Cricetulus griseus: one gene and its partners. The protein of the gene in region 1 purifies or fractionates together with the protein of each later gene. This does not show direct contact. Links are inferred from orthologs where the notes say so. Each region holds a gene or a part of one and is shown in the gene's direction. Other genes may lie near its edges. The genes, in order: Smad3, Hif1a, Rnf111, Runx3, Skil, Smurf1 and Lemd3.

Evidence for each region.
Region 2: the proteins of Smad3 (region 1) and Hif1a purify together in Homo sapiens (affinity purification with western blotting; 4 studies listed by BioGRID and IntAct, with this or other methods). This does not show direct contact. The link is inferred for Cricetulus griseus from reciprocal best matches to the Homo sapiens genes SMAD3 and HIF1A.
Region 3: the proteins of Smad3 (region 1) and Rnf111 purify together in Homo sapiens (affinity purification with western blotting; 5 studies listed by BioGRID). This does not show direct contact. The link is inferred for Cricetulus griseus from reciprocal best matches to the Homo sapiens genes SMAD3 and RNF111.
Region 4: the proteins of Smad3 (region 1) and Runx3 purify together in Homo sapiens (affinity purification with western blotting; 3 studies listed by BioGRID). This does not show direct contact. The link is inferred for Cricetulus griseus from reciprocal best matches to the Homo sapiens genes SMAD3 and RUNX3.
Region 5: the proteins of Smad3 (region 1) and Skil purify together in Homo sapiens (affinity purification with western blotting; 6 studies listed by BioGRID). This does not show direct contact. The link is inferred for Cricetulus griseus from reciprocal best matches to the Homo sapiens genes SMAD3 and SKIL.
Region 6: the proteins of Smad3 (region 1) and Smurf1 purify together in Homo sapiens (affinity purification with western blotting; 3 studies listed by BioGRID). This does not show direct contact. The link is inferred for Cricetulus griseus from reciprocal best matches to the Homo sapiens genes SMAD3 and SMURF1.
Region 7: the proteins of Smad3 (region 1) and Lemd3 purify together in Homo sapiens (affinity purification with mass spectrometry; 3 studies listed by BioGRID and IntAct, counting the BioPlex papers as one, with this or other methods). This does not show direct contact. The link is inferred for Cricetulus griseus from reciprocal best matches to the Homo sapiens genes SMAD3 and LEMD3.

The regions. Positions count from the first base shown.
Region 1 is NC_048597.1:175,281,546-175,285,690, reverse strand, and holds the start of Smad3 (mothers against decapentaplegic homolog 3), read left to right. Parts: upstream 1-1,345; 5' UTR 1,346-1,845; coding exon 1,846-2,051; intron 2,052-4,145. UniProt on the Homo sapiens protein: Receptor-regulated SMAD (R-SMAD) that is an intracellular signal transducer and transcriptional modulator activated by TGF-beta (transforming growth factor) and activin type 1 receptor kinases.
Region 2 is NC_048598.1:129,496,291-129,500,460, reverse strand, and holds the start of Hif1a (hypoxia-inducible factor 1-alpha), read left to right. Parts: upstream 1-1,370; 5' UTR 1,371-1,699; coding exon 1,700-1,734; intron 1,735-4,170.
Region 3 is NC_048597.1:182,047,543-182,051,770, reverse strand, and holds the start of Rnf111 (E3 ubiquitin-protein ligase Arkadia), read left to right. Parts: upstream 1-1,428; 5' UTR 1,429-1,639; intron 1,640-1,796; exon of another isoform or gene 1,797-2,052; intron 2,053-4,228. UniProt on the Homo sapiens protein: E3 ubiquitin-protein ligase. Required for mesoderm patterning during embryonic development. Acts as an enhancer of the transcriptional responses of the SMAD2/SMAD3 effectors, which are activated downstream of BMP.
Region 4 is NC_048595.1:18,148,416-18,152,667, reverse strand, and holds the start of Runx3 (runt-related transcription factor 3), read left to right. Parts: upstream 1-1,452; coding exon 1,453-1,510; intron 1,511-4,252. UniProt on the Homo sapiens protein: Forms the heterodimeric complex core-binding factor (CBF) with CBFB.
Region 5 is NW_023276806.1:119,762,675-119,766,174, forward strand, and holds part of Skil (ski-like protein), read left to right. Parts: intron 1-389; coding exon 390-548; 3' UTR 549-3,500. UniProt on the Homo sapiens protein: May have regulatory role in cell division or differentiation in response to extracellular signals.
Region 6 is NC_048597.1:81,373,325-81,377,485, reverse strand, and holds the start of Smurf1 (E3 ubiquitin-protein ligase SMURF1), read left to right. Parts: upstream 1-1,361; 5' UTR 1,362-1,625; coding exon 1,626-1,680; intron 1,681-4,161. UniProt on the Homo sapiens protein: E3 ubiquitin-protein ligase that acts as a negative regulator of BMP signaling pathway. Mediates ubiquitination and degradation of SMAD1 and SMAD5, 2 receptor-regulated SMADs specific for the BMP pathway.
Region 7 is NW_023276806.1:135,866,578-135,870,077, forward strand, and holds part of Lemd3 (inner nuclear membrane protein Man1), read left to right. Parts: intron 1-819; coding exon 820-886; intron 887-2,848; coding exon 2,849-2,916; intron 2,917-3,500.

The DNA.
Region 1 (4,145 bases):
TAGGTTGAAGACAGCAGTTAAGACCGCCTCCATTTCAGTCTCTTGGTAAGGGCTGGGAAGCCGAGTGGAAGGGGAGGCTACAGCCACACTCCAACAGGAGTGCAGGACCTAGCTTGTTAGGGTCCACTGGGCCTCAAGAATCAATCCTCCTCCTTTCAGGACTTGGCTTCAGGGAGGTGGAAGGAGACACCTAGGAAACCACAGCCTCTTGACAAGCTGTGGCTGGCGATGGGGCACCCTCGGTGACAGAGCTGGGGGCCCCTGAAGCTTCTGGGCTGACTTTGTGGGACTGGCCACACTTCATAGGTCTTTGTAACTCCCACCGGCTCTTGGTTTGCAAATAACTTCTTTCTCACCACCGTCGGTGGTGGTGGGGTTTCCCACTGTTTAAAACAAGCATAGTCCTATACCTACTGAGTTAACCCGATGGGATTGCAGCCGCAGGGTAAAGGAGCTGAGAGCCTGCTGTAACGCCTCCAAGCCCGTGAAAGGACCATGGGCAGCCAGCCCCGAATTCCGATAGTTGGGCCCCAGGGCTACCCAAAGTCAGGTTCTCTTGGTGTCCTACCTAGGCTAACTTTGAGTAAACTTCGTTCCACTTTGTATGTGCGAGTTCACTGCTTTGTAAACAAAGCTCTCTTGCTTGTTTGGCGTCGAATTTCAGTAACACCCAGCAATGTTAATTCTTCCCCTCCCCCAAAGATAAATCCTAAAGCGCTCCCATTCATTCCTTAAGGAATGCAACAGATGTCTTTGAGGCCCGTTTTCTGCAAAGAGCTTGGTTCACTAGGCCCAAGGGACCCCAGGCTCCAGCTATTGTTCAAGTTGTCACTGAGGTCTCTAACTCCACTTTTAAGTCTCCCTCTCCCCCTTCCCAACTCCCTCCTCCGCAGTCTCCGGGCAGTCAGTCGGTCTGATCTCACCCAGCGGGAAAACAAAAACAAAACAAAACAAAAAACACCAAACCAAAGGAAAACAGCCGGGGCCAGTGAGCGAGATCAGTGCTCCCCGGCTTCCTGGGCTTGGAACTGAACCCCTCTTCTTGTCCCAGTACTCTCCAGGGAGCAGCGAACCCTAGGGGTCCCGCGCCTGTTCCGGCGAGTCTAACACTCTCTAGTCCCTGCAACTGCATCTGAGCGTCTTGAGGGCGGCGAGTCCCCAAGAGTCTGGTCCCGCGGCCGCCGTGCCCGGTGGCCCACGTGGGCGCGCTTGGCGGCGCTGGGCGGGGAAGGCCGCGGGTCCTCCCCGGAGCTGAGCGCGGGGGAGGAGCGGGGAGCCCGAGCGGCGAGGGGGCGGCGACAGCGCTGGGAAGAAGCCTGCACGCGGAGCTGCGTGAAACGTAGACTTGGGAGCGGGCGGGAGAGGAGCGGGGAGCGCCGCTGCACGGCCCTGGCCGGCCCTGCGAGGCGGCGATCAGCGGGGAGGAGGAGGAACAGGAGGAGGAGGACTGCAGAGGCGGAGGGATCTGCTCACCAGAGTCATCCAGGCCAGCAAAGTTTGGCTGGGGGTTGGACTTTCCTTCCCGGAGGCGGCACCCAAACAGCTACCCCGTGCGGAAACCCAAACTTTCTACTGCCACTCGGAGTCTCAGCGGCCACCGCCTCCGCCCCGCGCGCCCGGGGCCTGCCCGTCAGTCCGTCGGTCCTCGTGGAGCTACTCAGGCGCCACCGTGCTCCCGATCCCCGCAGCTGGAGTGCCGCGGCCCCGGCCCGGACGCCGGGGCAAGTTCTCCAGAGTTAGACGCGAAGTTCGGGCGCGGCGCAGGCCGAGCTGCCCCTGTGCGCCCCCGGCGTCCCCAGTGCGCCCAGTCCCGCCGGGGGCGCCGGTGACCCTCCCGTGCCAGCCATGTCGTCCATCCTGCCCTTCACCCCTCCGATCGTGAAGCGCCTGCTGGGCTGGAAGAAGGGCGAGCAGAATGGGCAGGAGGAGAAATGGTGCGAGAAGGCGGTCAAGAGCTTGGTGAAGAAGCTCAAGAAGACGGGGCAGCTGGACGAGCTGGAGAAGGCCATCACCACACAGAACGTGAACACCAAGTGCATTACCATCCCCAGGTGGGGGCCGGGAGCGACGGGGGGCGCGCCGGCCCAGCCCTCTAGGGCGGCCAGGGTGGAGAGGGGAGGGCGTGTGCGTGTGTGTGCGCTCTAGTGTTGGGGACAGGCAGTGGGTGGAGGGACCCCAAACAAAACCTTCTTCGGATTTGTCCAGGCTCAGAGCCCAGGCTTCCATGCGGCACTCTGGCTTCCAGACCTCAAGGATCCCTAGCCGCCTGTGGGCAGCAGGGGTGCTGCTGAGCTTGGCCCCCCACTCTCTGGGCTTTGGGCTCCAAGTAGAGGCCCCGCTTTGTTCGGCTCTGCCGGCCGAGCCCCTCCTCCGCCGCCGCCTCCCGCCCCGCGCTCGTGGAGGTGGTGGCGTGTGTCCCTTTCTTTTCTTCAGCTCTGTTCCCCCACTTCTTTTCCTCGTCTACAGGAATGCAGTCGGTACAGCTGTGGGTGAGGAGCGGGAGCCCGTTGATTGACAGATTCCTTCTTCGCTCTTTCTTTGCCTTGGGATTAGCATTTTTATCGAGTATTTTTAGATTTGGTTGTGCCAGCCTCCCGCCCCCTGTGCACGCATGCACGCACGCACTTAGTTGCAGAGCAAAGCACCGACTTTGAAGCGGGAGAAACAAGTGGCAGAAAGTACGGTCATTCCCTCTTCCCACCCCACGCCTGCCTGGTATGCCTTCATTTTAATTGAGAGTTTGCGGGTGCCTAGAACCGAGCAGGCAGCTCCAGACAGATAACAAAACATCCCAGAGCTGGCCTCCCTCTGTCCCTGCATTCCTGTAGAGACCTCTTTTCCCAAAACGCTTTGCCATCTGTCCTGACCTCCTTTATCCTTCCCATCGGGCTAGAGGAGTCCGGCGGGAGCTCACAGATGGCTGATGGAAGGGGTCAGTGACTTCACTCCCAGGGCCTCCCAGAGCATAACTGCGCCTGGGATGAGGGCACTTTAGCCTTCTGTCTCCACTTCTCAAGACATCTTTAAAGATTGATTCCAGAGGAGGGCAGGTGCGGATGTTGCGGGGTGGGGGTGGTGGTGGGAGGTGGTGGTGTCCCAAGCTGCAGAGGAATGGAGAGAGAGCTCCCAGGGCCTAAGATAGAGAGGTCATCATTCTTCCGGGCCAGGGTGGCCTCCATCCTTGGCCACCTGCTCAAGGCAGCTGTGTGTATGCTGCCAGCCCTAACAGTAAGGCGCAAAGCAGCATCTGTCCACAGGAGCCCAGGGTCGGCCTTCCCTGGAAATAAACACCACAGACGGTAGGGATGCCTGCTTAAAAAAAATAGCCAAAAAACAAAACCAAAAACAACCAACCCCCAAACCTGGTTGGGATCAATAAAGGGGGAGGCGAAGGCAGTTGTCTGGGAAGAATGCTTGGCCTGTGAGCCTCTGCCAACTGGCTTTAGGGGGGTGCTGTGACGTGATGGTCACAGGCACCTGGGTTTTAGCTCCTGCTCTGGCTCCTCATTCTTCTTTATCCTTTTGACGAAGTGGAGTGGCTGAGTCTCAGGTCTCTGTCAGATCCGGAGAAATAGCCTTTTCCTAATACGCCTGGGTGCAGCCACACTGAATACTTTATGTTTTGAACCCCCTCAAGTGATATCAATTATGAAGCAGCTGGGCAGAGTGTTTCACAATTTACAAGGCACTGTCATAGGCCTGATGAAGGCCTGGAAAACAGAACAGGCAGCGAGGTCTAAAATGATCTTGCCTTTCAACCAGACAGACCTTCACAGGAGATAGGGAAAAACCTAAGACTGGGGCTAGCATACCCTTTCTCCCAGACTGTTGTGGACTCTGAGAGCCCAAAGCATCCTTATCCAGGGAGGGTGGTGGATCTCTGCCTGGAAGGTTCTTGGTTCATCTTTGGGCTGGGGTCAGCTTAGAGGAGAGACTGTGCCTTCCTTGGCCTACATTTGCCTTCTGATCTTGCTTTCACTTGCAGCCCTTCCCAGTCCCAGGCAGGTGAAGGTTTGTGTGCTTCTGAGAGTTCAGGCTAACCACCTCCACTTCACCCAGGTCTTCCAGGACTAGGCATCTTCAGACTGCACAAAGAAGGTGGTGGGTGGGAGCAGGGTTTTTGTTGGTTGGTTCTTTGGTTGTAC
Region 2 (4,170 bases), on another chromosome or scaffold:
TATTAATAAGGCAAAGATGGGATATTAAACAGTTTAGTGTCAGGAAGAGTCTCAAACAGAGGCTCCAGATAAGGCTCAGCTGTACCCCCAACGTGTGTGTGTGTATGTGTGTGTGTGTGTGTGTGTGTGTGTGTGTGCAGTGTATGTAGTGTTCCTTTGTTGGGCTCAGAATACATAAAACAACAAAAACCCATACTGACCGGCCTAGCATTTTTGCTTCCAAAGCCTGACCAAAACTGATGTTTCATTCCATAGTTCCCTGTAGAGCAGGTGAGCAGTCAGTCGGTCACCAGGATCTGCAGGTTAGGGGACGCATTATTCTTCCTTTAGTCTAATCAGTGAATCAAACTCAGCCTCAAAGGATTCTTGCGCCTTTTTGGGTCCATTTAAGATCATCTTTGTCTCTTTTAAAAGCAACATGGAAGCAAAATAAGTCTCTCAAAGCCTTTTCCCTTCTTCCACTCAAATTCAGGCTTATGCTTTCACTTACTAAAGCCCCGTTATTTGTTTGTAAATGCTTAAGATAGTTTGTTTTAAAATGGCCCTGCAAAATAAGTCTCTCAAAGCCTTTTTCCCTTCTTTCACTCAAATTCAGGCTTATGCTTTCACTTACTAAAGCTCTGCTATTTGTTTTTAAATGCTTAAGATAGTTTGTTTTAAAATGGCCCCGCAACTTCACTTCCTTTGAGAGGTTTTTGCAAGAAGGATTTGTTCTATGTTTTTATTTGCATTTGCTCAGTAATCAAACTTCGGCCCAGAAAAATCTTAACGACATGGAGACTTCCCTTGTTCTGTGGCAGAGCGCAGAGACTGAGCCGCCTCCGGGTCACCTGGGAAGGAAGGACCCCACTCGAACACCAGGGGGCTGGCTGCCACGACGCAAAGTCGGCTTTTTCTTTTTTTTTTTTTTTTTTTTTTTTTTTTCCAACTGGAAACTCAGAAGGGCTGGGCGGCAACCCAGCCTCGGATGACTCCAGATAGCAGGGCGGTGTGAGCCAGGCTCGGAGCTCGGCAGCCCACCATCTCCAGCAGCGCCTCCCAAAGCCAGACGCCGTAGAAAGCTCGGAGTCCCCAGGCCCGGGCTCAGCCGCACCCCTCGCCCCTTTCTCTTCCCTCCCCAGCTGCACACAGACAAGCACGTGAGCGGGGCAGCGCGTCCCAGCTGGGTCTCAGCTGACCGCCTCCTGATTGGCTGAGAGCAACGTGGGCTGGGGTGGGGCCTGGCCGCCTGCGTCGCTCGCCATTGGCTCTCGGGGAACCCGCCTCTGCTCAGGTGAGGCGGGTCCGCGGGCGCGCGCGTCGGGCTCGGCGGGCGCGCGCACCCCTCGGGTCCCCTCCCCTAGCCGCGCGCCCGAGCGCGCCTCCGCCCTTGCCCGCCCCCTGCCGCTGCCTCAGCGCCTCAGTGCACAGAACCTCCTCGTCTGAGGGGACGCGAGGACTGTCCTCGCTGCCGTCGTGGGCAGTGTCTGGCCAGGCCCTGACAAGCGAGCGGGAGGAGCGCCCACGAGCCCGAGCCGGAGCCCGGCGAGAGCAGCTGCAGCTCCCGCCTCGCCGTCTCGGGGAGGAGGGGGGGGCGTCTCGCCTCGCACCCCGCCTCTGGACTTGCCCCTTTCTCTGCGCGTGCGGACGGAGCTAGCGCTTAGGCCGGAGCGAGCCCGGGGGCCGCCGGCCGGGAAGGCACCGCGGGCACCGATTCGCCATGGAGGGCGCCGGCGGCGACAACGAGAAGAAAAAGTAAGCCGGGCCGCCGCGTTCCGGGGGCTGGCCTTTTTTGTCTCCGATCCCCTTCCGTCCCCCCCAGCCTCGCGCGCCGGGCTCCCCCGCGGTCCACGTCGCCATCTTGGCGCGGGGGGTGGGAGTCGCGGGCCCAGCGCTCGGCGGGGCTGGGTCTCCGCCCCGGACACCCGCCCCGCGCCGTCGCTGCCCAGCCTGCCCCGCGCGCCTATCCGGCCGAGCCGGCCGGGGCCGAGTACGCCCCTCGCTTCTGCGCCTTCCCGCCCCCTGTCCTCCGCGTTAGCCGCGAGAAGCCGGCCCCGGGCGGACCCTGCGCGCGCTGCCAGCTTCCTGGGGTCGAGGCCGATCCGGGGCTACCCCCACCCCCCCCCACCCCCGGGCCGTCTTGCTGAGCCGCGGCCGCCGCTGCCTTTGTACGTTAGGGAGTTGCTCCGGGGGCCCGAAGATGCTAACTTTCTAGTTTGCACGTGCAGGTTTCCGTTGTGATGAGGGGGGGGGAAAAAAAAACCTTGCCTCCTCCAGAGTAACGGGAATTTAGGGAAACGGCATCGTTTTAAACAACTTACAGTTTTTACAAACTTGTGCCTGCATCACCTGACTGACAGGAGAGCCCACACGTTATTACGCCTATGTATATGCCTCTTTTCACTCCTGAAAAGAGCTTTCCTGATAGTTTTGGTTAAACTTTGGCCGATGATTTAATGAGATGGGGGTTGGGGGAGACTATATAATGCGAGCAAATGAAACTCATCAGTTAAAATGTTGCAAGTTTGTTGAAACACCTGAAAGAATTGTATCGGGAAATACATCCCAAGTGAGAAATTGCCTCTGAAAACTTAATGTGAGTTTATGAAACGTCTTGTAGTTTTTTGAGTCTAAGGAACACCTTACAGAAGTGTGACTGCAGCTGCTAGTAGTAAGATCGACCCCTGCCGCCAGCACACAGTTTTGTCTGCTTCAATATTTTAACCTTGAGGAAATCAGTTTAAGGAGTTGAAGGTTTATAGAAAGAGCTGTGGTTAGAAGGCTGGCTTAATATTCTGCTGAGTCCTTCCAGTCTTCTGGAAGAGATTAAATCCATATCAGCAGAAGATAAACTTTCTTGTTTTCTTGCTGTTCTGTGGGTCCCTTGTCTTGGTCCTTACTCCATAGAAGGTTCAGGTCTCAGTTTGTGTGCACCAAAGGAAGCACTTCGGAAATGTTTTAAAAGTGCTTAAACAAGTCTAGACTTAACTCCACTAGTTACCAGAATTAGTTGCAATTAATTTTGCAGAAGTTACTACAATGCTTTTGATGAAATGATGGGGCTGCTATAATCTAAACATTAGGCAGATTGCAATTGGGTAGTGCCATTTACTGTCCTTACTAAATGCTGAATTAGATTTAATACAATACACCAGGTCATACACCAGTCATTGTTATATGCAATATTTTTTAATCAAAAGTAATTTTATAATGAATGAGTGAATTAGTTGTGCATTGGGCCAAGTTCTAAATGGTTTTTAGTTTTTCCTCAGACCCATCTGTTATTTAGTTTTTCTCACTTGAGATGTTAGCAGCTTTAGATCAGATGGGATTATATTTCTTAATATAGAGGTTCTTAATATCGCTAAAAGATAATGAACATGAGTGTTGGGTCACTCAACAACCTTTAGGTGCTGTTTGTTAAAGATGTACTTTTGAAATCATAATTTATTTGAAAGATTGAGGTAAAGATTTTCTGTCTGCAGTTTTTCCTTCTTAAATGAGCCTCCAAAGTGAGCATAGGGGAAATAAGTTTGCTTTTTTTTTAATAGAGGGCATAGAAAACCCAGACCTTGAAGATTTGGAAGAAAGCAGAACAGAAAATGCATAATAGATTTAACAGTGGGTACTGAGTGTTGGGGCTGCACTTGACTGACTTAACATGCATATGGACTCTTAGATTTCAAAAACGTGTCAAGCTCATGCTGTTTCTAGCTTCAATGGACCTCATTACAATTCAGCTTTCTCCCTGTTTGAAGAATCAGCATTCTAAAAGTTTAGAGGGTAGGGATGGGGAGGCAGAGAATTACCCACAAGTTGGAGTCCCAGGCCTTTCCACTTGTGATCATTAGCAAGTTAGTATTTCTGGATTATATGCCCCACTCCCAGATGATAATACTAGCCCTCTGAAGATGAGGTAATGCGTTTAAAGCACTTAGGCCAACATGGAATGGGAGTCTTTGTAACATTTCTTACACTTGAAAATATGTGTTAACTGTGAAAGTTATAGTTCAGACTTCCATAACCATTAAACTTTCCTGTCTATATCTAAATATATTTTAGTTCTTATGTGCCTTCATGTAATTTTTTCTCTATAGCCACCTAAATGAAGAGACTAGCATTGAATTCAAAGGTTGAAAAGGGGTTCTTCCCTGTTGAAGCAGTATCTAGCATCAGTTGTTTTACTGAGCA
Region 3 (4,228 bases), about 6.8 Mb from region 1:
TATTTCAGTGATGAATGGCCAGAACTCTCTCTGGCTATTTAATAGAATGTTGGACTTGATTTCAGAATCAATTCAGCTGAATATGGACAGTTCTGATTTTTACTCAGTATCATGTATGATTTGGGAATCATTTGTTGTGAAAAACACCACAGACCATCTTTGTATCCATGAACTTAGCCAAGCGAAGTAAAAATATACTTTAACATGCAATCCATAGTAAAAAGTATTGGACTTTTCACAGTTTTGAAATGTAGTTCTTAAAATTGATGTAGCCAATACAAAGTCAATAGCGCTTTATTTCAAGTGTTCAAGAGTCGTATGTGGCAAGTGTGTCTACCTTAATTAAGGAATACAAGTCAAATCTTTAAAGAGGAAAAAAAGGAGAGAGATGAAAACAGAGGTTTGAGACATCATGAGTCAACGGCCTCAATAGTCCAGGTGGCATCCTACTTTTAGAGAGAAGCCATTGGGGGACTGAGGAAATCCAGGTCCAATGCTCTTTCATTATTCCTCGCTTATAATTTAAAAACACCTTCTTCACTCAATATGGAGAACATGAGTGAATAAAATTATTGAAGAGCCTGTGTCTAAGGAGGGAATTAATGCCTACTGAACACTTAATTGGTAATATATGGAGGTTTATATAAATCGCCAAATTTGACCTTAAAGATGGTTTTAAAGCATATAAAGTTATCCTGGTTAATAAAGGAGGAAACTGAGATTTATAAAGGTGTTAATATATCAGCTTTCTGGCCAGAAGTCTGCCTGATTGACCGCAGAGGCCACGCTCTGTCCTTATGTGTTGCCTCCTAGGGCACGCAATGAAACATTGCAATCATCTTGTTTTGTGAGGTAATTAAGAAGTGTTCTCAGATTGTATAGCCAGAGCTTCCAGGCTATCTAATACCACCCTTGAACTGATTTTGGAAACAATTCACTTGAACAGCGAGATGTGATCTCTAGTTTGGGTGTCATTTGCTGGGAAAGACACCACGTTTTTGCTTTAAGAGCGCTGCAAGTGCAGCCGGTAAGATTTAGAAGAGAAAAAGTAACCAGGATGTAGGCAGAATCATGTTGAAGTATTGTTGACCCCGAAATCACCGAAGAAAATGAACCCTACGAGCTTCTTCTTAACGTAGCTCAACAGGGCCAACAAACAGTAAGAGAAAGCCAGTGCAAAAGGGGAAAGGCTAGGACGCAGGGGGGCGGGCCCGGGGGCCGAAGGGGGGCGAGCCCGGCAGGCGAAGGTCCGCGCACGCGCAGACATACGGACGTGAGAGGGCGTGAGTCCGGCGCGCTTGCTTTCCGAACTGTCGTAAAAGGGCCCCGGTGTCGCGCTCGCGCAGTCGGGGAGGGCCGAGCCAGGCTGCGGCGGCGGCGATGGTGGCGGGGCGCCGGGACTGCGCGGCGTAGAAACGCCGGCCGTTCAGGGTCGCGAGCGCGCGTGGGCCACGATCGGGCGTTCCGAGCCGGGTCGGGCCGAGCCGGGCTCAGCCGCACGCTTGGCCGCGGCGTTGACAGACGCCCTCCCGAGGAGAGCCACCCGGGCCGCCTCAGCCTCGCCTCGCCTGGCCGAGCGCTGTTTGCCGGCCCGCGCCAGCGAGCCCCGGACCTGGCCGCACGGGGGCTGCGGACTCGGGTGAGGACGCCGGAGGAAAGGGGGGTGCGGGGGAGGGGAGCGGCGCCGCGGCGCTTGCGCGCTGCGGGGGAGGGGCCGAGCTGTGGGGAGAAAGAGGAAGGGCCGCGGCTGGCGGCCGGGGTCAGCGGCAGGGGGATGTCCGCGGGTCCCGGGCGGCGCGGAGCGGCTCATTGTGTCCGGGCGAGAGTCCGCCCGCGGACACACCCACAGCCTCCTAAGCGGGAGGGGGTGAGGGGATCGCACCCTGTCGCCGCTGCCCGCCGGCAGGACGGGGGCTGAAGGCCCAGGCGTGGGGGTGACAATGGAGTAAAGAAGGTAACCCGGGCCGAAGCCGGGAGCCGCCCGGTGCGGGCGAGCACGCGCAGTCCGTGGAGCAGAAGACAGACGCGTCTGATATTGTGTGGAGCTGGCTGGTTAGTCATTAAAAAAAGATGTTTTCTTTATCCTGCCTAGATAATTGATCGGAGTCAGCAGCGGTGCGGTGAAAGCATCGGGTTTTGTACTGAGAACTAGAGGTTTGTCACCACATCTCCTAGATTATAGGGCTTTATAGATAATGTCTTAAAGCAAGAGTGACTTTTTAGCGTCTAAAAAAAAACAAAACCAACCAGGAAGTTATAGCGCCTTCTTTTAATTTGCTCATGTCTGTAGTGTGGGGTGACTCCATTGTGTTGTTGAGAGCTTTCCTATTCCTTGATTTATGTACAGAGTGAGTTTAGAACTCCTGAGTAGCGGCGAGCCAGCTGACAGACTTCATTGTAAAAGTTCTGATAGCTCTTGAACCAAACTTTGTTCCATTTGGCATTTTATCTTTAATTTTCTTCTTTTTGGTACCTCTTTAACCGAAAGGAACAGACTGGGAAAAAGATGAGCTGAGGTTCCACCTCCTTGCCCGTTTGTGTTTATCACGTGAGTTTTGAGTTTACGTAGACATTCTTTCCATAGTTCTGATTTTACTTAGCTTCATTAGGATAGGGGTCTACATTTAAAAAATCCTTCATATGGGTGTATGTCAGTGTGTGGGTCTGCATGTGAGTGCAGGTGCCCGTGGAGACCAGAAGAGGATCTAATGTTCTAGAGCTGGAGTTTTAAGGGAGGCTTTGCACTGCCCTGTGTAGGCGCTGGGACCCCCAAGTTGGGGTCTTCTGCAAGAATAAACACTCTTGACTCCAAACGGTTTCTCCAGCTCCGGAACCATATTTTGATAGTTTGTTACTATGTGATCTTTGTTTTTGCTTTTTCTTTCAGTTAAAAACATTTATGTAGAAACTGGTAACTATGGTATTTTGTTACATTGTGACACAGGTTGAGGAAGCTTCTACTCTGAAGAGAAACAAATTATTTAGCTTTAACTACTACTTTTGTAGCGGGAGTGCTGGGCGTGATGGCTCAAACTTTTAATCCCAGCTCATGAGAGTCAGGGGCCGGGGGATCTTTGTGAGTTCAAGTCTAGCCTGGTCTACATAGTGAGTTCTAGGATAGCCCTAACTATGTAGAGAGACCCTGTCTTGAACACCTACCCCGAATGTATGTATAACTCTTTTGCTACTCTCTTAGGGTTTAACCATGAACAAAATATTTTGTTGTATTCCGCTGGCATGTCACCTAAGATTCTCTGTAGTATTTGAAAAAATTAGTGAGGATATTTGTGAACTGGCCCTAATGACATTGAAGAATATTAGTAAGAATAGTCTTTTCTTGCTAGTCAGGGCTGTGTCATATGTGTGTGGTTTCTTTTGTCATCTTTTCCCATTGGTCTCTGTCTGTTGGTCACTAGAACTGGTTGGCCTTCAGCTCCTAGACTCAGGGATCTTCCTGCTTCAGCCTCCTAGGGAGCTGGGGCTGCAGGTTTTTACCATTGTACTTGGGTCTAGAGTTTGTGTTTCATGAATGCTATAATAAGAATACTTTCTTTTAATGAAGAATGTATGTTAGCTGAGGTTACGTTCAGCAAGTTTCACTTTGGTGCTCCGTGTTTGTGAGAAATTGAGAAATGCTTCTATGCTTCTACTGATGTCCCAAGAGGACGGCAGTTTACTTGCATGAAGCAAAGGAACAGTAAGTTATTCAGCAGGCACATCTGTGTATTTTTTTGAAAATATGGACTAGAAAGCTCATTGCATCAAAATGTTTAGAGCTTTAAGTGTTTATTTTATATATGTCATGTTAAGGAAGGCCTTTGGTATCATGCTTTAGTTATGGCTTATTTGTATGCCCCCCTGCTTTGACCCTAACCTGGTGGGCTGGGACTTTAATATGACTGACAGAACAAAAAAATAGTAATTAAGGCTGGGTGGTGGTGGCTCACGCCTTTAATCCCAGCACTGGGGAGGCAGAGGCAGGCTGATCTCTGTGAGTTCGAGACCAACCTGGTCTACAAGAGCTAGTTCCAGAACAACCTCCAAAGCCACAGGGTTTCTTTTGTCATCTTTTAAAAACCAAAAACCATCTTTTGTCTTAAAAAACCAAAAAAAAAAAAAAAATGTATTGTTAACCTTTCCTGGCCTATATCCTTCCCAATTAGTAAAATTAGTGTAAGATTGATATATGTTGTTTATTTCTGGCCTCTGTTTTTGGGTGTATGTGTGT
Region 4 (4,252 bases), on another chromosome or scaffold:
CCTATGAATTGTGACAGAAGAGCTCTTGAGGCAAATAAGAAAAGCCATGCTCTCCCATGCCTCACATCTGACAGGTTTCTTAGAAGATGAGCACAGAGTGGGGCATTGCCCATGTCTTTTGAGCCTTTCTGAGTCTTGGCACAGGAAAGGCCTATCAGAGGCAAAAGCCCTGAGGCAGGGAGCTCAGAGTCTCTCTGGCTGTAACACCCCAAGGGCATGGCAAAGGCCCCAGACCAGTGAGCTTAGGCTGCAGGCTCCAGCCGAGAGCAGGGCCGTCCCAGCACAGCCATGCCCCCAGCTTTCCCAAGCAAGGCCTTTCTTGGTGGGCAGGCCGCAGCCGCCGCCTCATGTGTTTCCCATTTGTACATAAACCCCAGCTCCCATAAAACCCCTGAAGTGCCACCCAGCCACATATGTGGACGCCTCTGCCTGGCAGTGTGGTGACGGACATGGCAGGGTGTCAGCCACAGCCTAGGGCAGTGACAGCAATAGTGAGGGGTCCTCCACCCTCTGATGGAACCAAGCTTTGGCTCCTGGGGAAGAGCAGCCAGGCCACCACTGCCCTTCATTATGAAAGGGTCTCCTAGGCCACTGCAAACCACAGCCTGCTGCCCACTCAGTGGCTCCTAGCTCTGTCTCCTGGATTGTATGATGAAGCCAGACTCACAAACAGAAACCCTACCTTTTCTCTCTTTTTATTCTTTTCCTTCCAGCCTCCAAAGAAGGGGGTTGGGGAGTAGCCACAAGATCTTCTAAGGGGACTGTGACATCATGGCCCAGGTGACAGTGGCCTAGCCAATGGGCCCCAGCCGCGAGCTGGCTTCTTATATCCTGTGATGTGAGCTTGGGTTGACACTGGGAAGGCCTGGTCCCTCAACCACAGAACCACAAGGCCAGGCCCTCACTGCCTCCAGGGCCCTGCGAGGAGCTGGTTGGCTCCTGGCGTCCCCACCCCCTGGCCGTCCTGGCCCCCACCACAGCCTGGGCTCCGTGGAGGGTGAGCCTCATTCATTCATTCATTCATTCCCGCTGCTGAGTCTTGCCTCACTGCTGCAGCCCCAGGCTCCTCCGCCCTGGCTGTCCGGAGCCCCTTCCCACCATTTAATGATACTCTGCACATAGTGCTGTTGAAAATTTGTGGCTAGACATTCCTGTGGGACCGGGAAGCCAAATTCTTGGGTACAAACCGAAACTTTCTTTCCTTGGAGATTTTCTTCTCTCTCGCCCACAGATACTCTCGCGTTCTTTCCTTTTTTTCCTTTTTTTTTTTCTTTTTCGTAGCAGCAGGGGGAGAAAAAAGAAACCAAACCAAAAAACAAACGAAAAGCAACACCTCCCCCCTTTTATTTTCAAAAGCAGCTTGAAAAAAAAAATATAACAAAACAGCAGCCAACCAAGTGGGTCCGAACCCAACCCCCTGAGGCCGAGTCCTTGCCTCTGTCAGCTTGGGGTATGGCCTCCAACAGCATCTTCGACTCCTTCCCCAACTACACACCGACCTTCATCCGAGGTGAGTAGCAATGGTGGGGCTCTGCTTGGCTCTCCCGGCTGGGGAGTTGTAACGGCCTCAGACCATGACCCTCCAACCCACTGCTCTAGCCACCTCAATGGCTAGCCTCTGAGGAGCTAAGTGGGGAGAGGGATTGGTGGCCTCTGTGGTCTCCTGACACGAGCATCACTATAGGACTTTGATTCTCTGCTGGCGGAGTGTGTGGCAGGGGCAATGGCTCCCTATAGACCTCAAAAGCTAAACCTCAGAGGGTCCTGGAAAGAACAAGGCACCGGGGCCTGTTTGCCTAGACAAGGGCTCAGACGGACCGAGGTCAGATGCGTCTGGGAGGACCATGAGAGGCAAGCAGGGCCAGGGCTGTGCCTGGACCCACAGATCTTAAGGACTGTCCTCCGAATTCTCTGTGTGCCCAGAACAGTGGGGACAGAGGGAGGGAAAGAAGCGGCAGGCCTCTGTGAAAATCTGGCAGATACGCTGTCCCTGGAAGGTCTGAAGGTTTGTTCTCAGAAGGTGTTTTGGAGGTGGCTTCTGTCTCTATTCATGGCCCATCAGGACCAAGAGTTCTGGGGTGTGCCCCTCAGCAAGGATAGGAACCAGGATATCTGATGTGGAGCCTCTGACTTAGGCTAAACTCCAAGAAGACATGCCCTGCCTCTGGCCATTGAGGTACCCTGACTTTATATACCTCGGCCACTTTCCTGACCCTTTGCAGGAGCTCATCGGGCTGTGGCACCGGAGATCAGGAGATTGTGGTCCCCAAACTTCAGCCCCAAGCTGTGCCAACCTCGATGAGTGACCCGATATGGGTCACTTAACCTTTTTGCTCCCGATGGCGTCCCCTCTAGCTGTGGTGTTCTACTATCTGAGCTGTGCATGGGGCAATACTTCTGGGTTGCTCAGGGGAAATCTCTACAGAAGATGGGGCAGAATGTTCTAGAAGTCTAGGGTTGGGAGGCATTGCCTTTTTTGAGTGGAGGTGGCCGAATGAGAGAGACATAGAGGTCTGCCTGCCAGTGCTCAGCATTTGATTCTAGAGGACCTGGAGACCTGTGGGTCTGTGTGGTAAGAGCGAGGCATATCTCTTTCCTGGTGATCTGAGGAGCCTAAGGCAGGCTGTGTGCTCAGATGGTGATTGAGCCACGGAGAAGGGATGCTCACTCCCAACCTGGCTGTGGCTGATGATAAATAGTGGCCCTAGGTCCTGTCCCTTGCAGCCACCACTGTTGTTGTGCTCTGCACCCTTTGTAGTCTTTGGTGTTAATTAAAGGCAGTTACTGGGCAAGAAAATAAGAGTTTATAGGAACCAGTTGCTGGGTCTTTGTAATCTGTAGTTCTCCCTCCCTGAGCAAGATGGAGAAGTTGAGCTTAAAACAAAGAAACTTTAGAAGTCAGGGCTCGTGCCGGATGCCTTAGATGGACTCCTGACACAAAGCCCTAGATGTGGCAGCTGGAGATAGAAGGACGGAGAGGGGACCACAGCAGCTGTGGCCCAAAAGGAAAGAGGTCACTGAGCTGAATGGCTGGTCCCTGGTCAGCAGGGTGGAAGGTGTCAGAGTCACTGTCACCAGGCAGCCTGGAGACCCCAAGAAGAAATCCTGCCCTTGTCTCGTCTCTCTCCTTTAAACCTGTCCACTCGGGTTCAGATCCCTGATTCAGAGTGCTCATAGCTCCAGCCTCAGGGTCCCCTTGTATCCACACACCATCCTGGACCCTCAGGAAGCCTGTGGCTTCTCAAATCACACTATAAAGACATATAACAAAATCAAAAGGATTTAGGAGGTACCAGACCTGGGGAAACAGTTTCCAATCTATAAAGGCCCATTTGTGGACTGTGACCTTGGGCCTCTCTGGAGACACTTGAATGACAGAAGCCCTCCCTGTGGATCCAAAACCCAGTGTAGCTCGGGTTGACGAGTGCTGACGATAGATAGTGAAGGGTCATTTGCCACAACCTTCTTGAGATTGAAAACAATTGTGGTTTCTGTTGGTGACACCATCGTGGTGGAAAAAGATGCTAAATTTTGTTTCATAGTTGCTAACAGAAGGGAAAATTCATTATTTCCAGCCGGGTTCATGGACCCCTGGGATTTCTGCTAAGGTCAAGAATCTTAGCGCCGATGTGTTCTCTCACTCTGACTCTGGGATCCACCTGTTGGGGTTTCACAGAAGGGAGCCCCTGTCTCCGTTCTCCCACAGTGTCCACATACCCAGCTGTCCCCAAATGCCGGCCCTCCTCACTGCCTCAGCCACTCTCCTGGAGAACTGGAAAATGCCATGTTCCAGTTCCACAGTCTCAGACTGTGGAGTCAGTGTGTGTTGAGTCTGGGTCTGGAAATTCACACAATCTGACCTGGGCAGTGCTGGCAGAAGGCCCAGTCCTCTGCCTGCCTCTAATGTCCATGTGCTGTGTGACTTCAAGCCAGCCGCTTGACATCTCTGAGTGCTATTCTTTCATTGGTAAAGGGGACGTGTGATTAGAGTTGATGCTCCTCATGCTGCCGCCAACCCAGGGTGGGTCCTCTGAACTGTCACAAAGCTCTGCCGACTCGGAGTCCCCATAGACCAGAAGAGAACAGCTTCATCTATGTTTTCACTGGATTCTGTGTTTCCATGCCTTGCCTCCGGGCATCAGCACACAACAGACATCTGGGGCCTCTGGAAGCAACAGGGGACAGACAATTGGGCCTCCTACAGTCAGGGCTTAAGTAGAACCTTCCAGAAGCTGCCCAGCCTGCCCTTCGT
Region 5 (3,500 bases), on another chromosome or scaffold:
ATAGGACCCTGGTTCAGTCTCTAGCACCATATAGTTTTTTTGTTATTTTGATATGATAAGGTGAGCTTTTGTTCCAAGTTATCAAACATGAGTAACTCTGTTACTATTACAAATATGGAGATGATGAGCACATTAACATAGCAGCTGTGGAGAGTCGGAGTGTTGCTATAAGCCTTTGTGACAGTATGCTACATCCTCATTCCTCTAATACTCCTATTCCTTCAATTCCCTAACATGTCAGATGTCAAAAGTAGGTGTTCTGAGATATGCATGAAAATAGTTCATTTTGTAAAAAGCAAATGGCAGTTTGTTTTATAACCATGGTAAGGTGATTAAATGGGAAAAAAAATCAAAGTGATGGAAAACTAATAGTCTTTTAAATTTTACAGTTGGCAGAACTGAGGCAAAGACTAGACCATGCTGAGGCGGACAGGCAAGAACTCCAAGATGAACTCAGACAGGAGCGGGAGGCAAGACAGAAGTTAGAGATGATGATAAAAGAGCTGAAGTTGCAGATTGTGAAATCATCAAAGACCACCAAGGAATAGGAGCCGAAGAAGAGATGGATCTGTATTTGGTCAACAGGGATTTGTGTTTGTCACTTACTTTGGAAATTGAATTCTGTTGTCTTGCCATATCTGCATGAAGATAGCTAGACATTCTATTCATTTATAGGGCAGCAAAATGAAGAGATTATATATTAGTACATAAATTTTTCCACTTTCCAAATGATAAGTGTATGCTTCTTTGAACTTTTTCCAGTCAGCTTGGTGATGATAACCCATGTAATTTCAACCTGTAGACATCTACCTGTATTTCTAAGGCAAGCCTAACAGTTACATATTTTTCAAAGCTGTGGTATGTGATGGGAAATATCTGTCAGTTTTATTATGCATATTTCAGGCTCGATTTTAGATACAGTGCTGATGTTTATGATGCAGAGTTCCTCAACCCTGTATCATCCTTCTCATTACAGAATATGTTACTACAGAATCTCCTTTTTCTTTTTTTTTTTTTTTTTTTTTTTTTTTTTTTTTTTGTTTGTTTTTTTGAGACAGGTTTTCTCTGTGTAACAGTCCTGGCTGTCCTGGAACTCACTCTGTAGATCTTGCTGGCCTCAAACTCAGATCCGTCTGCCTCTGCCTCCCAAGTGCTGGGATTAAAGGTGTGTACCACCAACGCCCGGCTGAATCTCCTTATATACCATGTCTGTTTTTAGTTTGTTCAGGTTGTGGAGTAAGGTTCCTCCTAAGAGCAGTTTTGCTGATGGAATGATAGTACCACCACCCCAACATGCAGTGGGGGGAGTGTGCATTGCTGTGCCCTGATGTTGCACACAAGAAGCGGCTGGAATTTGTCTTTCATTTAAGAGTGGCTATATCTAAATATGTGTGTGTGACTTCAGAAAATTAAAATGATTACTGAACTTTTGGTAATAGTGCTGTGAAAGTACTTCATGAGGAAAATGGACTCCACTGATGTACATTGGTTCCTATGTAATTCATAACCCTCTTGTACAGTTTTTGTATGTAGTCTTATAAAGGTCTCACTGAAATTTATATAATGGATTTTTTCTTTTAAATTATAAAATATAAATATCTTGAAGGTTATTTTGGACTTTTATATGTTTAAATGTTATCTTAAAACTTGCACGAATGGACCATTATGACTCTTTAATCTTAAAATCAGGAATTTACAGTCAGCTAATAATATCTGATAGGTTAATAATCCATAATTAAAGTATCTGCTGCTAGCAGGAATTTTAGATAATTTTTAGGTGACAAATGAATTCCGTGATTTGGGGAAGGGCAGCCTCTGCACTTTTGTTTTTATTTTTTTGCACATTAAAGTCTGACATTTTTACCAGAGAATTTTATCTTAGTTGATGTTTGGCTTGATATTTACTGGAGAAAATTCTCAGTGAGCATTGTATTTTTCTTTTTGTTTTGTTTACCCTCCAAATTGCAGGGTTCTTGTGGCCTCTGCCTCCCAAGTGTTGGGTTTATAGGTGTGGGCCCCATCACACCTGGCTCTGTGTGTGTGTGTGTGTGTGTGTGTGTGTGTGTGTGTGTGTGTGTGTGTGTGTGTTTAGGGAGATTTCCTGAAAGTGGCAGTAGCATCATCGCCATGTTTTATGTTTCCCAAGCTGTCTTATGTCACTACGTTAAGTGACTTGATAGCTATGCTTACGAATAACGTAGAGTTATGGCTGTCATTGCCCCAGTGGTATTATCACGTACCTGCTTATAGTCCTATTTTGTTTATGATTCATCTAAAAGCAACTTTTCTGCTTTCCAAAAGGGAGTTTGCTTTCTAAATATATTGTGACCTAAAAGAGGATTTACTATGCTTTATAATTTAATGTGTTGACTTTTGTAACCTCTTTGAGGAGAAACATGTTAAATTGCACAGGGACCATATATGCCATTTTATTTAGATTTGGAGAAAGAAAAACCACAGGCATTTGTAAAATAGCTTTAGCTTAGTTGTCAGTTATAGCACAGCTTGGCTATGTGGGAGGCAAACTTACACCATTTATTTTTCTGACTTCCTCAAAACTTGTACTTCCGTGCTACTATAGCAAATGTAATTTTTCTAGTCTTTCAATGAAACTTGCCTCATGACATAGTTTAGCATAGTCTACTTCCCAGAAGATGAAAGGATGTGCCATAGTTTTCTGTCTGAACTTCCCTTAAAATAATTTTTAATCAACTGTAAATATTATACCTATTGCTGTTGAGAGTAACTTTTAGTTACATTGCACCATGTAGCTTGAAAACAATTGAAATTCTGTAAAACTCCCAAAGTGACCTCTGCTTAAATTTTCATATGAAACTTACTTTATGCATGCTCTTTTTGTGTGCTGGTTGCTATCTTAAAGTTTATTTTGGTGTTAGGTCTTGTGGTAAGTTCACTAGGCAAGCAGATAGTTCCTCAAACTTCATATTATGTTTAGGGAAAAATGAGACCATTTACAATGAAAAGCTGTGTTTAGGAGTGGATTGTAGAGTTTGCAAATGGAGGAAAGATGGTGGTGTTAGCTTTTATAGTAAGTGATGCTTGCTCTGGTGGTGATAGTCTCTCTGTGGGCCAAGTCTGGGAGCTCCTGCCTCTGTCAAGGAGACTCTGAAACCACCTGCCAATCACAGCCAAGACTTTGAACACCAAAAGATTCGACCAACAACTTAGATTTGGCTTGAGCTTTAATATTTTTGGAATATATTCTTTCGCTTGAATTTCTTGTGTTTTTGAGGATAAGGATGTTTTATGCTTCTTGAGCTAATTTTATAACATTTAATATATAACCTGTTTATATGTAAAATCTTTTGTACAGGGGTGGGGTGGGAAGGAGAAATGAAAAAATTCATGTGTACATAGTGAATTATAAAGCAGACTGAAGTAGGTGAAACAGTGAGTACCACTTTGTTCGAAGGTTCCTGTAGCCTTTGAAAGTTACACCAGAACAACCAGTTTCTTTGTGTGTCTGTGGCTTGTTTGCA
Region 6 (4,161 bases), about 94 Mb from region 1:
TTCAGTTCCCAGTACCCTCACATGGTAGTTCACAACCACTCGTTTCAGATCCAGCACCCTCTGATGTACATATAAACACACATGCAAAACACTCATATGTAGATTAAAAAATATCTAAAACCCCCACAAGACTCAGTTTTTCATGCTTGCACAACAAACACTTTATCAATGGAGCTATCATACCAACCCTCATCAAAGACTCTTAAATGGATTTATTCTGACCTAGGGTCTCAATCTCAATGACAGCTGCCTAGAAAATGAGACAGAGCTAGCGTCTGGATTAACTGTTGCTCATATACTGTTCCTTTTCTTAGACAATTCACTACAGCTATTTGAAACTCTGGGCTGCACAGGGTCATAGAAACAAAACAAACCACTAGGGTAAGGCCAGGTGGGTTGTGGTACAGGCTGGTAATCAGGAAGCTGAGGCAGGAGGATCACAAGTTCGAGGCCAGCTTGGTCTAAAAATGAGCCTCTGTCTCCAAAGAGGGTGGCTAAGTGCTGTGGGTAACAGGGCTAAGGAAGCCACATAAACTCTGTCTATGAAAAGAATTAGGTTCATATCAGATGTGAGTTAGGTAAACATACCCAGCCTTTTCAAGAACGTTTTATTTCCTCTCTAGAATGTGTTACCATAGAGATGGGTTTGCTTGCTGGGGAAAACACAGCTTTTACTTTTTTACCTGCCTGCCTCTCTAGGGGCGCACACGCGCGCGGGGTGTGTGTGTTTCACCCGAAGGCAGGGAATCGCAAATCCCACTGCTTACCTTCCTAGGTTAGTTTAATTGCATGCAGGTCCCTAACCACAAAACCACACACCTCTCCAGTTTACATCACTCATCTAGTTTAGCTGGTCCATATGCCTCACTTCCTGAGGGTCTAGCCACTTTGTCAATCGAATACACCAGTTGCACAGGGCACACCCGATCATTGTGGAAAGTCCTCTCTTGGAACTTGCAGGATCTAAACGTTATTTTCTCAAAAATGATATCGCGTGCCCGTGGGCGCACGCGCGCAAGGTGCTTGGGGTTTCACACAATCCTCTGGCTTCCATCAGGAAAAAGTCCGACTCTAGAAAAATAATTCGATTTCCCAAATCGTTGCACAAGCAAATCAGTTCGTTCCGAGATTGTGGCTAAGAAGTGCTCCGCGAGCGGGATGTCTGTTTCAAGAATCTCCACGGGCTGCAGAAACCTAGTAGCTCCCTGAACCTTCGCGTGCGCGCCCAGGACGAACGCTGTCGGCGTAGCGCCGTGCTCCTCGGGCGCGCGCACGCATGCACGCACGCAAGCGCGGGGCCGCGCAGGGCCGGGCCGGCACGGCGACGGGCGCGCGCAGCTCGGGAGGCGGCGGCGGAAGCAGCGAGGGCGGCGGGCGTCCGGCTGCGAGCGCGGCGGCTCCGGGCTGGCGGCCAGGGGCGGCTCCGGGCGGCGGCGCAGCCGAGCGCTCCGTCCTGCGGCTCCAGCCCGCGGCTCCCGTCCGACGCCTGCGCCGCTCACTCGGCGTCCCGGCTCGGACCCCGGCACCCCAGCCCGTGGCCGTAACCTTGAGGCGGCGGCGGGGCCGGGCCGGGCCGGCTGGGGGCGGCGGCGCTGGATCCAAGGCCGGCCGGCCGCTGGCGGGAGATGTCGAACCCCGGGACGCGTAGGAACGGCTCTAGCATCAAGATCCGTCTGACAGGTAGGCACTACAGGGCCGCGGCCCTCGCGCCCCCAGGCGGTCCCAGGGACCTCGAGGACTCCCACCCCGCCGCACCGGCCGTTGTCCCGGGACCGCCGCACCCCCCACGGCGTGCGCCCCTCGCTCCCTTTCCCGGCCCCGCCCCCCCGGCTGCTCTGCAGGCGCCGCCCCCGCCGCCCAGTACCCTCCCTCTGCATCAGGCCCCACCCCCGGCCATCAGGCCCCGCCCGCTGCGGCAGCCCCGCCCTCTTGCATCTAGCCCCGCCCCTATTGATCCGCAGATCCTCCCCCTTTCGTAACCAGGTTCAGCCCTCGACTGTTCTGCAGACTCCCGCCCCCTCCCCCCACAGGCTCCACCTCTTTACTTTGTAGCCTTGGTGCCCCGCCCTCTGGCTCCTCCCTCTGCATTATTCCCCGCCTGCTAATTTCTCTGCAGTTGGTTTTTTCTGCTTCAAGCCCTACTTGCTGTTCATCCTTCTGTCGGGCTCCACCCCCAACCCCCGCTGATCCTCGGTAGGTACTGCCTCCGGCTCCTCCCTCTTTATCAGGTCCTCCCCTCACCGTTCACACTCTGCCCACACCTACCGTCATTTGCATATGGGCCCCGCCCCCTAACTGCCTCCCTCTGCCCCTAACCTTACCCCTCTGCTTCAGGTCCCGCCCCCTAGCTCCCCTCTCCAGGACCATCCCCTAGCTCTCCTTTCTGCCCTACCCCTACCCTCAGCTGCATAGAGGTCCCGCCCCTCGGGGTCCCCCACCGGCTCTCTTGTGACCCTCTCTATATCCTGCCCCAGGCACCCTCTGTCCCACATCTGCCCCTCCCTGCTCTTCTCCAGGCCTTGTGCCTGGCTCCCTCAGCTCCACACCCACTTTCAACTTCATGTAGGTCCCGCCCCCTCGCTGCACCTTTTGCTCTTCCCACCCTCACCTCAGATTTTCATCATCCATTTCTTCACTCACCATCCTCCTACCTGCTATCCCTCTCTAGTCCCACACCTTACTACCCTCCCACCTGTCTGCTGTCTTTTTCCCTTGTAGCTTCTCATCTCTTCGCCTCCTTTCTTCCTTCACCACTGTGTTCTCTGACCTTCTCACTTCTCCCTCCTGGTATCCCGAGAATCGCCCCCCCCCCCCCCACTGGCCTGCTTTGATCCTCTCTTTGCTCTCCTACCTCCTCACTCCCTCCCCATCTCCATCTTTCTAGGGGCCTTCCCCCCTCTTGGCCCCGCCCCCTCCGCTGCCCAAGCCCCTCCCCTTGTTTCTGTCTGATCCCGCCCTCGATTATCTTTCAGTCCCGCCCCCTCGCTTCTGTCTTACAGCCTCCACCCTTGAGTCGCAAATTCCTCAAGCCTGTCTGGGACCAAACGTCTGTCTCCCAGACTTGTTCTCACTCCCCCCCACCTCTTCAATGGTCCAGACCTCTCCAGTCTAGTCCACTTCCGTTCTCCCTGAGGCCTGGCCACTTAGCACTGCAGAGTCCCGGTCTTCGGTTCCTACCTCCTCTGCAGTGCCTTCGCCAACATCCCCCTCAGTGCCACATGCTTGAGTCCCTGTTGTGGCGCGATCCCCCACTCCCACACAAGCTGAGCTGTGGCAGCTGCTCCAGCACAGGTTCCTTGTTCCACTCCGAGTCTTCAGAGGAATTTTCAGGTTTCCTAGGTGCTCTGTAGTGCCACCTTCAAGGGTGAGCGCAAAGCTTGCTCTGGGTCTGACAGCAACAGTATTGTTTGCATAGAGGGAGAGGCGAGCTCTCTGTCATAGCTGCCCCACTTCATGGGTCCAGAGTCTGGACCACTGCCCCTGGTTTCCTCTTCCTTTCTCCCTCTCCTTTTCCTGCAGAGACCTTACCAGTTTGAATCCATCTCTAAAGCTGCATGGCAGGGCTGGCATAGGGCCTGCTCTGGGGCTTTCTAGCTCAGAAAAGGAAATAAACACTAAGTCTAAGGCCTTTCAGGGATTTCCCTGGATTTTTCTGTTCTGAGGCAGTGTGGTCAGAACTAAGGCTCTCTGCTTGTCCTTTTGGACTGAGCCTTTGGGTAAGGGCTGTGATCATGGTGGTATCTTCCCTGCCACGGTGGAAATTCTTGGAAAGTTTGTAGCCGATGAGTGTTCTGTTTAAGAAAAGATTGACATTTTTTTCTCTGGTGATGTCAGGTCAGATAATGATTTTTGAACTAGAACCCAGACCCTGGTCTTGTTGGACATCTTTGCCCCTGGACAAACAGCAGGTGACTGGAGAGAACTCTCACTGGGTGAATGTAGTGTATGACACTGTGTTGGCTGTTACTTTAGAAAGTTAGATTCTTTGCCAGTCATCCTTGTGAAAGTTTGCTCACTGGCACTGGGCCCTGATTTTAGTGATAATCCACATTGGTTTCAGCCTTCCTGTTAAATTGATGGACTTGGGGAGTTTTAGTCGAAATGAGATCAGTGGCGTTTGTGTCAGCTGTCTATTAACAGATCCTAGAGAACCAGGAAAGG
Region 7 (3,500 bases), on another chromosome or scaffold:
TTTAGTTTTATGTGATTGAATCAGATTAAAACAAACTATGGAGAATGGCTCAGCAGCTAACAGTGCTTGCCAGCAAGCATGACAACCTGAGTTTGAACATTCATGGTGGAAGGAGAGAAACAATTCCTAATATTGTTCTCTGATATACATGGCTTATGCCCCTGTATGTGCAACCCACATATGTGTACACAAATTAAATCAATCACTCAAACACATAATGTAACCTGGATGGAAGAAAAGACAAGAACATACATATATATATATATATATATTATATATATATATATATATATTATATATATATATGCATGTGGAATTGGAAGGGTTGCTTTGATGACTTGGGGGTTATTGTGTGTAAGATCCTTTTCTGTAATTTCTTTTTCCTAAGATGGGGTGTGTGTGTGTGTGTGTGTGTGTGTGTGTGTGTGTGTGTGTGTGTGTGTGTGTGTGTCTGTATTGGGTATGTGCACATACGTGCTGGAACCTGCTGGGGTCAGAGGTGTCAGTTCCTGGGGAGCTGGATTTGCAAAAGCTTATAAGCTACCTGATGTGGAATTGACCTCTGTCCCTCTGGAAGAGAAACTTAATCACTGAGCCATCACTCCAGCCCTCTGTGCCAACTTAATAGTCCTCAAGAAAGTAAAATACTTAGCAGTGATCATTTATGCTGAGGTTCCTTAAAATACAGTAGCTATTGTTTCCATATGGATTTGTTTTTCAGATGCATAGCTTTAACCATTTAGCTTGATTTCCTCTTTTAAATAATTATAGACATTTTTCTTACAATTGGTATTTCATAATAACTGTTTTTAATTTTAGGAAAGTGAAAGAAATCTTGTGATGAGCACATTATACAAACTTCATGATCGGTTGGCCCAGCTTGCAGGTATTATTTTACCTTTCATTGTCTCCCAAACCATGTCTAAGGTTACCTGGTGTGTGTGCTTGTTGTGTCAGTAGAAGTAGTCTTGCCTAACCATAGACTTACATTTATTCAATAGTTTTCTTTAGAGATTTTTAAAAGAAATTTATAAAGATGTAGGGCTATTTATTTTCTGCTTGCCATGTGTTAGATATAGTTTATGTATGTTGTGTAAATAGTAAATTCTGAAGGCTTAAATAGCAATTGAATTGGATAAGCAGTGATTAATTAAAATCTTGGATTAGATACAGAGGTATAGATTTTCTTTTGGTGATTTTGCATGTTACTCCTGTAGTTAAAGTAAATATAGTATTCTATTTTTAGTTGAATTCTTCTCATATTCTACTCTTACTGGTCTATCAGAGTGCTCAGGTATCAACATATCTGCAGCCTGAATTTAATGAAATTATATTTTAAATGCATCCTTACTAAGTTTGATATTTGCAAGCAGTATCGGCAAAACTACTGTAGCATATTTGTTTATCCAATTCAGTATATAAATTTATTAATATTTGTGTATAATCTGAAAGATGTGGCTTTGGGAGCCTTCTACACTGTGCAGGAGCAGACTACCATGTGCAAGTGAAGTCTTTGGCAGAAGTCTAGGGGGCAGATGTGGTGACTCCTCTGGTTAGATGGAAGTACTTAGGGTCCTGACACTTGTTTCCCATGCCTTATCCATCTTGCTCTTTGATCCATAGTTTTCCTCAGTTTTTTAGGTTTATAATTGTGTACATTATTAAATGCTTTCTCTATACTGATTGATTTGCTCTGTTCATATATCACAGCTAGTGACATTCATGTGGTATGTTTAGCACCTGGGTGTGGGTTGAATGTATTCCATAGCTAAGAAATCCTAATGTTGCTACCTTAAGCCTGTGTGACTCTCAATACCTACGTTATGAAGTGACGCCTGTGGTTTCCTAGATCAGTACACACGGTTGCTCTTAAAAGATGGAGCTTTCCTCCCCAGATTGGACGTTGGCAAGTTTTTCCTATAAAGTGCCCATAGTAAATACTTGAGGCTTTGTGGACTAGACTGCCTCTCTCACTACTATTTTATTTTGCTATTATAACATGCACGTAACCATAAATAGTACATTAATCAATTAGCTTGACCCTACTCCAGTGAAACTTCATTTATAAATAGCAGCAGACTGCATTTGGCCTCAGGTGTATTTGCTGACTTCTGGGTCTGTGGAATCAGTCTCTCTCTGAGGAAGCATTATAAAGCTTGAAGACCTGTTTATCCCTGATCTAACTGCCACCATCACAACCTGTTCCTTGAGAAAACTGAGAAGTAAGAACGTACTTTCAGGGTAGAAAGGTGTGCAGGATTTCACTTTTGTTATTAAAGTTTTGTGTTGGGTGTCTTGCCACCCCCACCCCCGCCCCGCCTTCTCTCAGTAGACCAGGCTGGCCTTGAACTCAACAGAAATCCGCCTACTGCTGCCTCCTGAGTGCTGGGATTAAAGGTGGGTGCCTTATATTTTTAGGTTGAAGAAGATATTTTTAAACTACTTGAAAATAATAGGACAGCAAAAACTTAGCACTGAATTTTAGTATGAAGAAAAAATATCTCTAATAGACACATGTAGTCTGGAAAAAAAGCTTTGAATTTTCTTCAGTTATATGAAAGAAGGAAGTAATTTTCTCTAACTTTTATAGCATACCCCTTTATAAAAACTAAGTCATAAGTTCATAGATAGAAATCTTACCCTCATTTCACTGTTGATCTGTGTTCAAACAATTTTTAGGGTTTGCATTAGTTATCAGAACTGTTTGTAGAAAACGTATGTAACATTCATCAATATTTACTGATTATTACTATATATATAATTGTGTCATTTGTAAAACATTTTCAATTCTATTTATTTTTCTGTTTAATATTGTACTTATTCCAAATTAGTATGGTAATCTTTTCAGGAGATCATGAGTGTGGCAGTTCTAGTCAAAGGATGCTCTCTGTTCAAGAAGCAGCTTCGTACTTAAAGGTAAGCAGTGGCGTCAGAATTTTAGCCCTAGTCTTAAAGCTTATATACATCCATACCACTGTTAAAAGTAGGAAGCATTTGACTACTTTAATTGTACTGCTTAAGGCAGTTTTTACATCTTCTTTTACAACTCTTTTCCATACCTGCATCAGTCCTTCCTCATCCCTAAGCTTATCCTCTGTCTCTTTTCTTCTTGTTACTCTGTCTGAGTGGTTTTCAGTCTTCCCAACTCTGTGACCCTTTAATACATGTTGTGGGGACCCCAGCTATAAAATTATTTTCATTGCTACTTCATAACTGTAATTTTGATAATATTATGAACGTAAACATCTGTTTTCTGATGGTCTTTGGGGGTCATGACCCACAGATTGAGAAGCACTCACTTGTGCATTTGTTTACATATATAAGTGTATTGTTGGCTAGGTTCCTGGTAAGAGAGAACATGTTTTTTTTTATTATTATTATTTCTGAGATTGTAGATATAAAGCTGATTGGAGTGTATTTATATCTAAGGATATGAAGCTAATTGATTTTCTAGTTCTACTTGTAGTTCATTGAGTTGAATAGGCCATGTGTGGTTAATT